Linked DNA regions of Canis lupus familiaris. The protein of the gene in region 3 interacts with the protein of the main gene of each other region in a biochemical or structural test. Links are inferred from orthologs where the notes say so. Each region holds a gene or a part of one and is shown on either strand. Other genes may lie near its edges. The genes, in order: FBXO21, NR0B2 and EID1.

What was found.
Region 1: of the proteins of EID1 (region 3) and FBXO21, one has a biochemical effect on the other in vitro, tested with the Homo sapiens proteins (2 studies listed by BioGRID, with this or other methods). The link is inferred for Canis lupus familiaris from reciprocal best matches to the Homo sapiens genes EID1 and FBXO21.
Region 2: the proteins of EID1 (region 3) and NR0B2 form a complex in vitro, tested with the Homo sapiens proteins (3 studies listed by BioGRID). The link is inferred for Canis lupus familiaris from reciprocal best matches to the Homo sapiens genes EID1 and NR0B2.

Annotation. Positions count from the first base shown.
Region 1 is NC_049247.1:14,069,804-14,073,453, forward strand, and holds part of FBXO21 (F-box only protein 21), read right to left. Parts: intron 3,110-3,650; exon of another isoform or gene 3,003-3,109; intron 2,703-3,002; coding exon 2,491-2,702; intron 1,022-2,490; coding exon 864-1,021; intron 1-863. UniProt on the Homo sapiens protein: Substrate-recognition component of the SCF (SKP1-CUL1-F-box protein)-type E3 ubiquitin ligase complex.
Region 2 is NC_049223.1:72,630,697-72,634,446, reverse strand, and holds NR0B2 (nuclear receptor subfamily 0 group B member 2), read right to left. Parts: upstream 2,547-3,750; 5' UTR 2,485-2,546; coding exon 1,944-2,484; intron 1,163-1,943; coding exon 864-1,162; 3' UTR 522-863; downstream 1-521. UniProt on the Homo sapiens protein: Transcriptional regulator that acts as a negative regulator of receptor-dependent signaling pathways. Specifically inhibits transactivation of the nuclear receptor with which it interacts.
Region 3 is NC_049251.1:15,392,541-15,396,022, reverse strand, and holds EID1 (EP300-interacting inhibitor of differentiation 1), read right to left. Parts: upstream 2,432-3,482; 5' UTR 2,225-2,431; coding exon 1,649-2,224; 3' UTR 538-1,648; downstream 1-537. UniProt on the Homo sapiens protein: Interacts with RB1 and EP300 and acts as a repressor of MYOD1 transactivation. Inhibits EP300 and CBP histone acetyltransferase activity.

The DNA.
Region 1 (3,650 bases), on a different chromosome or scaffold from region 3:
CCTCTCTCTCTCTCTGTGTTTTGTCTGTCATGAATAAACAAACAAAATCTTAAAAAAAAAAAAAAAAAAAAAAAGTCACATGCTCTTCCAAATGAACCAGCCAGGTGTCCCTCACTCATGTTCATTTTGACTAACAAAATGAAAGCTGTGAATGCCTTGACAGGCAGCCATGCAATAAATTCATCCCATTAAAAGGAGGAACAAAGAAAAGGGAGACCCATACTGGAGGCATCTGTCTCTAATCGGCCTCTGCAGGCTCCAACCGTCCTACTTCAGGAGTGCCCTGGACTAGCGCCTATCAGGGCTGGCAGTGGCCCCAAACACCACCATGCACCTGCTGACCATCAAGGCTCTCAGAGCCAGTGCTGTGGATTGTGGTTCCCCTTGTGGCCACTCTAGGACATCTCTGGGGCTCACAGCTGGCTATGGATGCCGGAGGCAGCTAGGGTAGTCCCCACAACAGTGTCCTCCAGTTCAGACAGGCCATATGGGCAGGGCACAGGCTGGCCCTCACTGCCTGGAGGGAGCCAATGGTAGGGCTTGGGAAGCATGACTTTCGGGAACTTGACTGGCAAAGTCAATGACCAATCAGAACAGAGGCTGGCAACAACACTGGAACAGGGTCCTGGGTGTGGGGGTGATGGAGGGAAGAGTCTGAAGGCGGGGACTATTTAACCCACTGCATGGCCACACAGGGGCACACCTACCCACATTTAGCTGAGAATCGGCCCTGATAAGGTTAGCCACACAACTGCCATCTCTAAATAAAATCAGTGACTGTACCCACAGTATCAGAACACTCAAAATGTGTGCTAAGATGTGCCGGCGTGTCATTATGAATACACACAGAACTAGCTCCTTACCTTGGGCTGCATATCTACAAGAACCGTCCTCCACCAGAACATTATAGAAAGGCTGATGATGGCCATGAGGCAGGCTGTGGACGTTCATGTTTCGGATCCATTCGTGTCCCATCATGCAGGTGGGGTCCCAACCATAGATCACACAGTTATAGCCATACCTAATCAATATAAGAGCAGTGGCAAATCAGTTCCCTGGGACCCTGTCACAGAGACTCTGGGATATGTAAGTAATGGCTTGGTTCTCTTAAGGTTATGTCCTTACAAATTTACCTGCTTTTATCCCTATTAAGCATTTTTCAGGACACTCTTAGCTCCCTTTATAAGGTCCTCTTATTATTAAGATACCATTTCAGTTGGAAAAGAACAGACTTCAACCAACCATCATGGGTCAAGTAGTTATCCAAACGGAAAAGGGTATTGGGACCCAGGCCTGAGAGCAATGCACAGTATCTTAGTAGGACAAAGGCCTATATATAAAACATAGAATTCCTAAGATAACTTCATGAAATAGGACAGGTTTAAGATTCCTCAAACCAGGGACGAAAAACAGTCCATAAAGGCAAAGAGTAAACTCAAAGGAGTCAGATTCAAGCAGATTGTTAAAACAAAAAAAAAAAAAAACAGGGCAACAGGAATTCTGACTATACTGATATGGTGAGGTGAAGAAATTGTTTTTCCTTAGATACTACAAGAAGATAGTAAACACTTTTAAAAAATATAGCAAGCCCTTACCTTTCAGGTACACATACTGCAAGGGGCTTGGGTAGGGATAGGGGGTGAAAATGTGAAGGCTGACCCTCACAACTGCTGGAGCTGGGTATGGGAGCATCGCCTGGTTCACTATACTCATCTCCACTGACGTGTATTTGAAATGTCCATAATGAGGTTGGAGGAAAAAAAAAAAGAATGCAATAAAAAAATGAAACACACTAACCCCAAACTGGGACAAGATTATTTGCAACGTATATGCATAGAGATACTAGTAGCAGGACAAGGAGACCACAAACCAACAAGACAGACAAATAGTTCGGGTAGAAAATAAGAATGTTTGAAGAGGTACTTCAGAAGAGAAAACCTGAATGAACTTCTTTTTTGTAGGTTTACTAGTCGATCTGCAGACTAATTGGGAGAATGCAAACAAAAATCACAATGAAATACTATTTGCCATTTGCTGTTTAAGAGCACTTTCAAAGGTGTGGCAAGAACACAGGTGGGTGAGAACAGAAACCCTGCAACCCTCGGCTCCTAGCCTGCGGAGTGGGACAGAAATCACAGGGTCACTGTGGTTATGGTTTAATTTTGCCTAGCAATTGACCACACACACGTGCCTATAACCCAGCAAACCCTATCCACAACCCAGATTCAAGGGGATGGAAATGAAAAGAAGCCTCAGGGCAACAAGAAAATGAGAGATAAAATCTGCTGCTTACAGATCTTACATTAGAAGATTCGCAGTTAGGAAAGTGAGTCCCTTTCTTAGGAAACAGCGTAGAATTGGTTCAGACTGGTTCAGCCTTCAGTCGCTTCTGCGGCAGACACTCAGATGCCATGGCTCCTGAGAAGCGTGCTTGCGGGCACACCACGCATCCCCTGCAGTGGTGCGGGGATGGATTCCACAGGCACTCACCTCTTATGCTTCATAATGAGCCCAATGGAGTAGCAGACGTCTCTGTGCTTCTCATGGGAGCGCAGCTTCACCTCCACGCCCACCTCCTCCTTCTTGCGCTCAATGTGCTCTAAGGTGTGCTGCACCAGATAGCCCACCGCCCCATGCTGCCCGGGGTCTAGGGTTTGAATGTGCTGGAGGATGTCAAGCACCTTCAAGACAAGACAGAAAGACTAGGAGATAATATTTTCATTTAGGCCTTTTCTTGTTCACAGCATGAGATTTAGGCCTACATAACCTGGCAAAGGACGGCAAGGTGGGGCCATGCTAGTGGCCCAGGGATCCACTGAGTTGGTGGTCTCACTGCTAATGGTGGGCAATGGCCCCAGGCCTCCAAAAGTCAACTGGTAGGAGCGTAGGAATTACTTAGAAACAGTGTGTGGGACTAAGCATGGGATGAAGTGGCCAGGGCCTGCCCTCCATGGGTACATCTGGATTAGGGAACTTTTCATTCATTCATTCATTCATTCATTCATTTATTTTAACACTTCACGAATTTGCGTGTCATCCTTGCGCAGGGGCCATGCTAATCTTCTCTGTATCGTTCCAATCTTATTATGTGTGCTGCCGAAGCGACCACTGGATTAGGGAACTTTAAAGGGTTCCAATACTCTTGCTCAGTGTGGGGAATCCATTTTTCGTACCCAGAAAGATGATTTTCATTGGCCACTCATCAACTGGAAGGTAAAAGAACTGCTAAGCTGCTTCAGTCCCGATCAAGGAGACATCTGACAGAGCTGCTTCTGCTGCACAAGGCAGAAGGGGTGACAGAGAAGCCCCCTGAGTGATGCAAATTAGCTATGCTGATGAAGACGTGTCTCAGGTTCTGGAAGCGCAATGATCGTTTCAATGATTGTTAACTCCCAGTGGGACTGTGTATTCAAGTGGGCAAGGAGAAACCATCTCTCTGTGGAATTGAAATGACTGAGAGGCTAGCAACAGAACTGTCTGACTCCAAGGTAAGTTTTCTCTACCCGTACATGGTGCCTCTAAGGAAAAAATGCAAATTCCAATAAAGTTTTATACACACACAATCATTCAGCGCCCATTCTACTACAGCATTTAACAGAGGGTCTATGATATGTTTCTCCTGTGAGAATAGGATCTCTCCCTCTTTACTG
Region 2 (3,750 bases), on a different chromosome or scaffold from region 3:
TCCAGGCAGCTGTGTGGGGCCAGCCCTGGGTTCCCTTGCCCCTCCCATTGGGACAGCAGTGGACTGTCTTCTACTGTCATCTGCAGGAATGGGCAAGTGAATGATCCCAAACTGCAGAAATTCCCGTGACCTTGACCTTGCCTGTTTAAATTTGAGAATGGGCTGCTTCATATTCCTTACTGGCTGTGATCTGACTTTTGTTGAGGTGAGAGGGAGCCTGTATGGCTCAGAAGCCAAGAGAGGGGTTAGCGATCCCCACAAGGGGATCAAGAAGAGACACTCTCAGCCCTAAAGATAAAGGCAAGGAAGTAAGGGGGCCTGAACTGATCCTAGTCCCTGTGCAAAATAAATCTCATCCCTCAAGATGAAATAATCATCCTGCCCTGAAAAATTAATATCCCAGTTCCCTGAGGGCTGGCTCCAGCACTCCTTATGATTCCTTCCTCCTGAACTCCTGATAGTGGCAGAGTGGGCCCTGGAGGTGGGACAGTCCCTTCCATGTACAAATTACAGTGTCAGGCTCCAAGGGTATCATGCCTTTTATTACAAAAACCAATAACTTAAATCATTTCTGTACAAAGTCAGTAGGACTTGTCCCATTGAGCAACCTAACTGCCATCCCCATCTCAGAAGGGGTCAGGAGTCTTAGCCCAGAAGCCAGAGGACCACTCCAGTTCCAGACAGCTGGAGCGCCATGTCAAACCAAGAAAGGCCAGTGGGGGCCGTGTGGTGAGTGAGGTGGGGGGTGCCCCTAGCCCATCTCTCTGGGGCAGGACAGGCTTGTTCCAGGGAGGCTGAGTGCTGCCTGTACAAACTTGCTCCCTCTGGGGGCAACAGGTAGCCCTGGGGACAGCTGGGCCAAATCAGTGCTGCCAGCCTTTGCCCAACCTCCACTTGATCTCTGCCTGGGCTGGAACAGGTTGGCTCAACAAAAGCATGTCCTCAAGGAGGCCAGCGATGTCAATGTCTCCAACAATAGGGCGGAAGAAGAGGTCCCCAAGGAGGCTGGGCGGGATGGACTTGAGGGTGGAGGCTGTGAGGAGGACACGGGCCAAGCGGCCTTGGCCTGCTGGGCACCAGGGCTCCAGGGCCTCACATAGCGCATGATGAGCCTCTTCCTGCAGGTGTCCGATGTGGGAGGAGGCGTGGAGGCCTGGCAAGCCTGTGGGCAGAGAGGGTGAAGAGGGCGGGTGAGTACCCCACTCCCAGGCAGCAATATTGGCCCAAGACCGGAGGTCACTGGCTTGGCCTTTGAGGCCCCATTACTACCTCCTCCATTTATGTGTTTATCACTTTATTTATCCATCCATTTATGGGGCAGCCCAGAGTAATGGTTAAGAGCCAGGCAGCCCGGGTTTGAATCCCATGCTGTCACTCACTGGCTGTATGACCTCAGATATGTTAATATCTGTGCCTCAGTTTTCTCATCTGTAAAATGGGGATAATAATACCTATCTCCTAGGCATGTTATGAAGTTTAAGTCAGCTAGTATATTCAAAACCCTTATAATTGGGCCTAATATATGGTAAATGTAATATGAATATTCATTACTATCACTATAATTAATTACCATCATTTATGCATTCTACGAGGGCTTTTTGATGAGGAATTCTCATCTCACATTTTCATTCTTCTCCATGGGGTCTTTCTGAACCCACAGGGTTTTACCTGTGACAGAGGCAGAGTTGTGTCTGCTCACCTTCCCTGACAGTCAGGGCAAGTTTCTTAGGCAGAGTGGCATGGACCAGTCTCTGGAGGGAATAAACCTGAGTTCCCATCCCTGCTTTGCCCCTACCGAGGCTGTGTGACCTTCAGCAAAACACTTAACCTCTCTGGGAGGTGACTTTTGGGGATAATGAGGACCCAAAGAGAAAACGGGTGTCAAGCCCTTAGAAGATGCCTTCCCTGCCTGGGTCCCCATCCAGGAATGTCTGGAAGCTCACCAGGATTGAAGAGGATGGTCTCTTTCAGGTAGGCGTATTCCTTGGGGCCCAGCTCCAGGCTCCAGAAGGACTCCAGGCAGCACTGAAGCCACTGTACGGCAGCCAGTGAGGGCTGGGGCCGATCGGGCAGCTGGCCGCTGTGTGCACCACTACTGGGCTCCTCCAGCAAGATCTTCTTGAGTATGCTGGGAACCGGCGCCTCAGCCACCTCGAAAGTCACAGTGTCTTGGGCCAACCCCAGCAGGAAGAGGGGGCCCCAGCAGACCCGCAGCAGCAGCTGCTGATCTTGAGGGGGCAGCTGGCAGAAGGACGGCAGGTTCTTGAGGAAGACTACTGTCCTGGCCAGAACATCCAAGGCCTCCCGGCAGGTGCGATGCGGGGCACACAGCCGGACGGGCCGGTGCTGTCTGCACAAGCAGCGACTCTGAACCGGGGGCACTGGGGGCCTGGCCGTGAGGCTGGGGCTCAGAAGTGCATAGAGAATGGCTGGGCGGCCTGCAGCACCCTGACACGGGCAGGTCCCTGGCTGGCTGGAGCTCATGGTTGGGGATCTGCTCCTTCTTCCTCCCAGCTCTCCCGCTTCTGCCCTCTGCTGTGTGCTGGGTGCTATTTATATTCCCCCAGTGGGAGGGACGGTGGGTGGGGGCAGGAGGGACGGCCTGACAACCTTGACTCCAGAAGTCATGTTCATTGAAAAAAAAAAACACGCACTGACCCTGCAGGATTGGTGGGGAAGTGGCGGGGGAGGGGGCTTTGGGAGTTCCACGTGGCCCTGATATCACTTCAGTCAATGAAGCAGCCTGTGCAGGGCACAAGGCTGCCTGCCCGCTGGCCCGGCTGCCCCTTATCAGATGACTCAAGTGGATAAACAGGGTCATTAACCCAGGCTGTACCGAGGCACCAAGGCCTCAGGTGCACAATCAGCAGGTGGCCATTGCAGGTGTCCCTATTGGTGCCTGCAAGACTGGCGCTAAGCTGGGAGGCCAGCCCCGGAGCTGGACGAGCCTTGAATGCAAGGCCCAACCTGGAAGTGCCTTATCAGGGACTTGTTTGCCTAACCTTGGGGCTCTGCTCCTGTTGTTGGTAAGGAACAGGCTGCGGGAACGGAGCCAGGACCCTGGGGGGCTGGAAGGACTTTGCCCACTGTGCAGGCCAGGAGGCCTCCCTCTCCCGACTCAGTTCTGGGGCCCCTCCAGAAATAAGGTACCTAAGAACTTCTCTCTCCTTAGCCTGGATTTCTAAAGTTCCCAAAAGGCTGTCTCTGCTGAGAAGCCCTCACAGAATGAGAATAAAGTTTGGCTGCTATTTATTGAGCACCTACTGTGTGCTAGGCACTTTCCATTCTAATACTCAGAGCTTCCCCATGAGGCAAAATTCTTACTTTTTGAAACTGAAAGAGGTGAAGTGACTTGCCCAAGGTCATGTTAAGTTTTTTAGTAACTAGATGGAAATGAGACCGCCAAGGCAAGCGAGGGTCCAAGAACAGATTTTATTGCAGGCACCCTCGGGCGAGGTTCCACGACTCACGGGGGAAAGAGAGTGAGTCGAGGAAGTCGCGCCAAGACAAGGTGGTAGGGGGTTTACATAACGTTGTAAGGCAGAACGGTTTCCTATTGGTTGGCTCATATGCAAAGGAAGGATTGCAATCCAACCAGTCAGAGTGACCCTCACTATGCAAAGGAAGGATTGCAATTCGACCAGTCAAAGGTGACTTCCTCCTCTGGGGTTTGAAGGGCATTGGGTTCGGTTGGGGAAGTCCAAAGGAGAGGTGTAAGGGTCTGCTCAAGCTGTCAGCAGGTCATTGGTC
Region 3 (3,482 bases):
CATCTATCTATTCTCCTCCTCACCAAGCTAGTGTTTCAGTAACTATGGTCACCCTCGCCAGTCCTCTACTTTATGTAAAAGGACCCCCGCCCCCCACCCATAAGAGGCAAGATGACTGTAACTGAGGCTGAGCTGTGGTATTGTACTGGATGTGTCCTTTAGTGCCATAAGGGGCAGGAACATCCAGTACTTTTATTGATCATCAGACCTACTAATATACTGTTTTACTGGGCACAGCTTTCTGACAGAATTACTACTATTCTTATACAACTTCAGAACCTTAATAACCACAGCAACATGCTCACCTTAATAGGACAGGTTTTCTCAGGCTGGCAAATTCTTTCATAGGAATTTGCCAAGTTTAATATCCACAAGTTAATTTATAAATCAGTTACTTGAAGCTGGAGCACTTTCCCATGTAGTGGTTAAATGTGAATCATAAAGTGGTTTCAATGATAAAATAAAATAGCACAATACAATAAAATAATAGTGTTTAGATAAAGTATGGGAACAATATTCTTGGCCAAACAAACAAAATACACAGAACAAGAAATTTTATTATCTCGAATGCTGGTGCATAACCAATGACAAGCGTAATTAGAGGAGGAGACAGAGGGAAACTTCAGATACTGAGGTGGATTTCTGGGCAGGTTTTAAAACCTTTTAAGGGTTGAGGGCATAATTGTTCAGTCTTTCTTTTTGGATGTAGGGCTTTCCTTTTACTTGACATTTTCACTTTAACAGTTCTTATATTATGAAGTTCAACCAAAGTCCTTCACCTGTAAGTTAAATGAAAAACAAAGAGAGCAAGTAAAACAACTTCTCTAGTATGTAAGAGTATCAGAAATAGTCTGTTCTTTCACATACATTTTAATGTCTAACTTTGAAATTACGGACGTCTTAATTTTTGAGTTTTAAAAATGGCAAGACAAATTTTCTTGAATTATGGATCATAGTAGCTTTATAAATGATCAAGATACACGTACAAACAAAATTTCAGATGCTCTTGAAAACACATTTTGAGATAGATCACACATGATACATATTTCTTCTTGGGTTTATCTTTTTGGGATAGTGAAGAATACCCAATTTTTTTTTTTTTTTTTTTTTTTTTACACTAAAAATTTAGCCTTTGAACACTGGCTTGGACAGACCACAAAGTGGAACCTCCAGAGTTCTCTCAGTAGGCTTTCAGTCCAAACGATTCAGACATCTTGTGTCCTAAATTGGATGTTACTACTTTTTCTCACGTAATTGGTATCAGTGGGGGTCTTGTACTGGCGGTTTGTCTTGGTCATAACTTATTCTTGCAAAACCATTCCTTATAGTGAAATATAGGAGAGGTATTTTCCCCAAATGCAAGGAAAATAACCGGGATCAGTAACAAAGTCTAAGCGGCAGGTGTTTCAGGAACATTCTTGAAAACAGATTTCCACAGTCCTGATACGTTTCTTCTTCTTCTCCAACAATGCTTTCATAAGAGCGCAGTCACTGCCCTATTCTACTCTGCACGACAACAACAAAAATTTTCTTTGAAGATCGACTTTTTTCCCTTGGCACCGTTACTATCTATCTGGAATGAGCCCAAAAGACCGTGGAATGTCGGGTCTCTCCTCAAGTAGCTTCCTCCTCTTTTAACAGCGTGTAATCACTCTCTGTCAATAATCTCATCACAGCCGAGTTCTTCGGTCAGGCGATTGACAACCATAAGTGAAAAAAGCTCTTCGATGAAAGCCAACTGATCAAACGGGGTCTTCTCGTAATGCATTTGAAACCCGCCATCCAGGGCTGCTTCTCTGGCTCTGGATGTTCTCAGGAACATCTTGTTGGCTTCCTCCAGGGCCGCGGATACCCTGTAGCCGGCACCACTCAGTTGCTCCTCTTCCGGATAATCGTAGTCGTCCTCCCAGTCATCAAACTCCTCACCCTCGTCCTCGCTCTCGAAGTCAGGGCCGGCGAGCTGGCCCGGCTGCTCCCCCGGGCTGGGCCGGTGAGCAAGGCCTCGTTCCCCCTGCGGCTCCGCCATTGGCTGGGCCGCCTCCTCCTCCATCGGGCCTTCCTCCTCCAGCTGCGGCTGGGCCCCGTGGCGGGAGGGGTTCGGGGAGGGCTCCCGGCTCCCGCCGCCTACCTCCATCTGCGGAAGGTCACCCTCGCCGGGCATCACATCCATCTGCAGGTCATTGCTCTCTTCATACAGCTCGGACAGCTCGTTCATCTCCGACATCGTACTCGCGGCGCACCCTCTAGCCAGGCGTCCCTGCAGACGGAGCTACGCGGCCGGGCGGTTCTGCGCGTGCGCCGACGCCGCGCGCCTGCGTGACCCCGTGCGTCTGCGCGACCCCCGGACGCCGCCTCCCGGGTGCCCGTCGGGCGGGGGGGCCGACTCCTGCGGCGGGAGGGGCTCCCGTTCGCCGTCCGTTCCTGCTGCTTAGCGAGGCCCTGCGTTTAAGAGAGTCGCCTTATCTCCGCTTTGCTTAACCGTCCCGCTCCTTACGGTGCTGTAAACTTGGAGATACTTTACGTGGCCTCTGTTACGACGTTTCAGCCTCCCCCCTGCTCCCTCCCCCTCTCCCCATCTCCCCCTCCCTCCTCCCCCTCTTCCTCCTCCCCCTCTATCCCTCCCCCTCGCTCCCTCTTCCTCCCCCTCTCTCCCTCCTTCCCCCTCTCCCTTCCCCTTGCGCTCCCCTCGCTCCCTCCCCCCTCCCTCTCTCTTTCCCTCTCCCCCTCTCTCCCTCCCTCCCTCCCTCCTCCCCATCCCTCCTCCCCTTCCCTCCCCTAGACCCTCGCATCTGCACCTGTCGTCCATGCGCAGGGCTCCCGCATCCACACCGCCAAATCAGTGTTCTCAACCACAGACCAACATACTATGAACTGATCCATTCAGCTCTACTTCTGTTTCCCCCATTAAAAAAAAATAATAATAAATTCACAAACATATTATCTATCTTCGCTACATGCTGAAGAAGTACTTGACTCTATTTCCACAGGAGGTTAACTGTGGTCAGTTTCAGTGTGTATTCTTTAAATCCTTTTCCATTGCATTTGTCCTTTTCCTTTACAACCTCGTGCAAAAATCTTGTTCTGTGTGTGGGTTGTTTTTTGTTTTTGCATGTCTTACGTAACTGTCTTCAGATTACAAAACAAAAAGCCCCTCTGCAGTGTCTTGAAGGTTTAGCTTTGTTGGGGTACATAGATGAGTGGTGGTGGTGGTGGTGTGTGTGTGTGTGTACAGCATTTCATTTTATTTATTTTTTATTTTTTAGCATTTTATTTGTATAGCTATGCTGTTGTTGACCTAACTTTGCGCGCAAAATTTCCGATTTTTCAATATTATAAACTATGGGTAAATGACATCCATATACGCCAGTGTTTCTCTAGAATAAATAACCTAGAAGTGGGAAGGCATAATTGTAGGGTGTGCATACTTTAGTTTTTAATTCATGCTGTCAAACTGCTTCCCAAGATTGCTGTACAAATGTAAC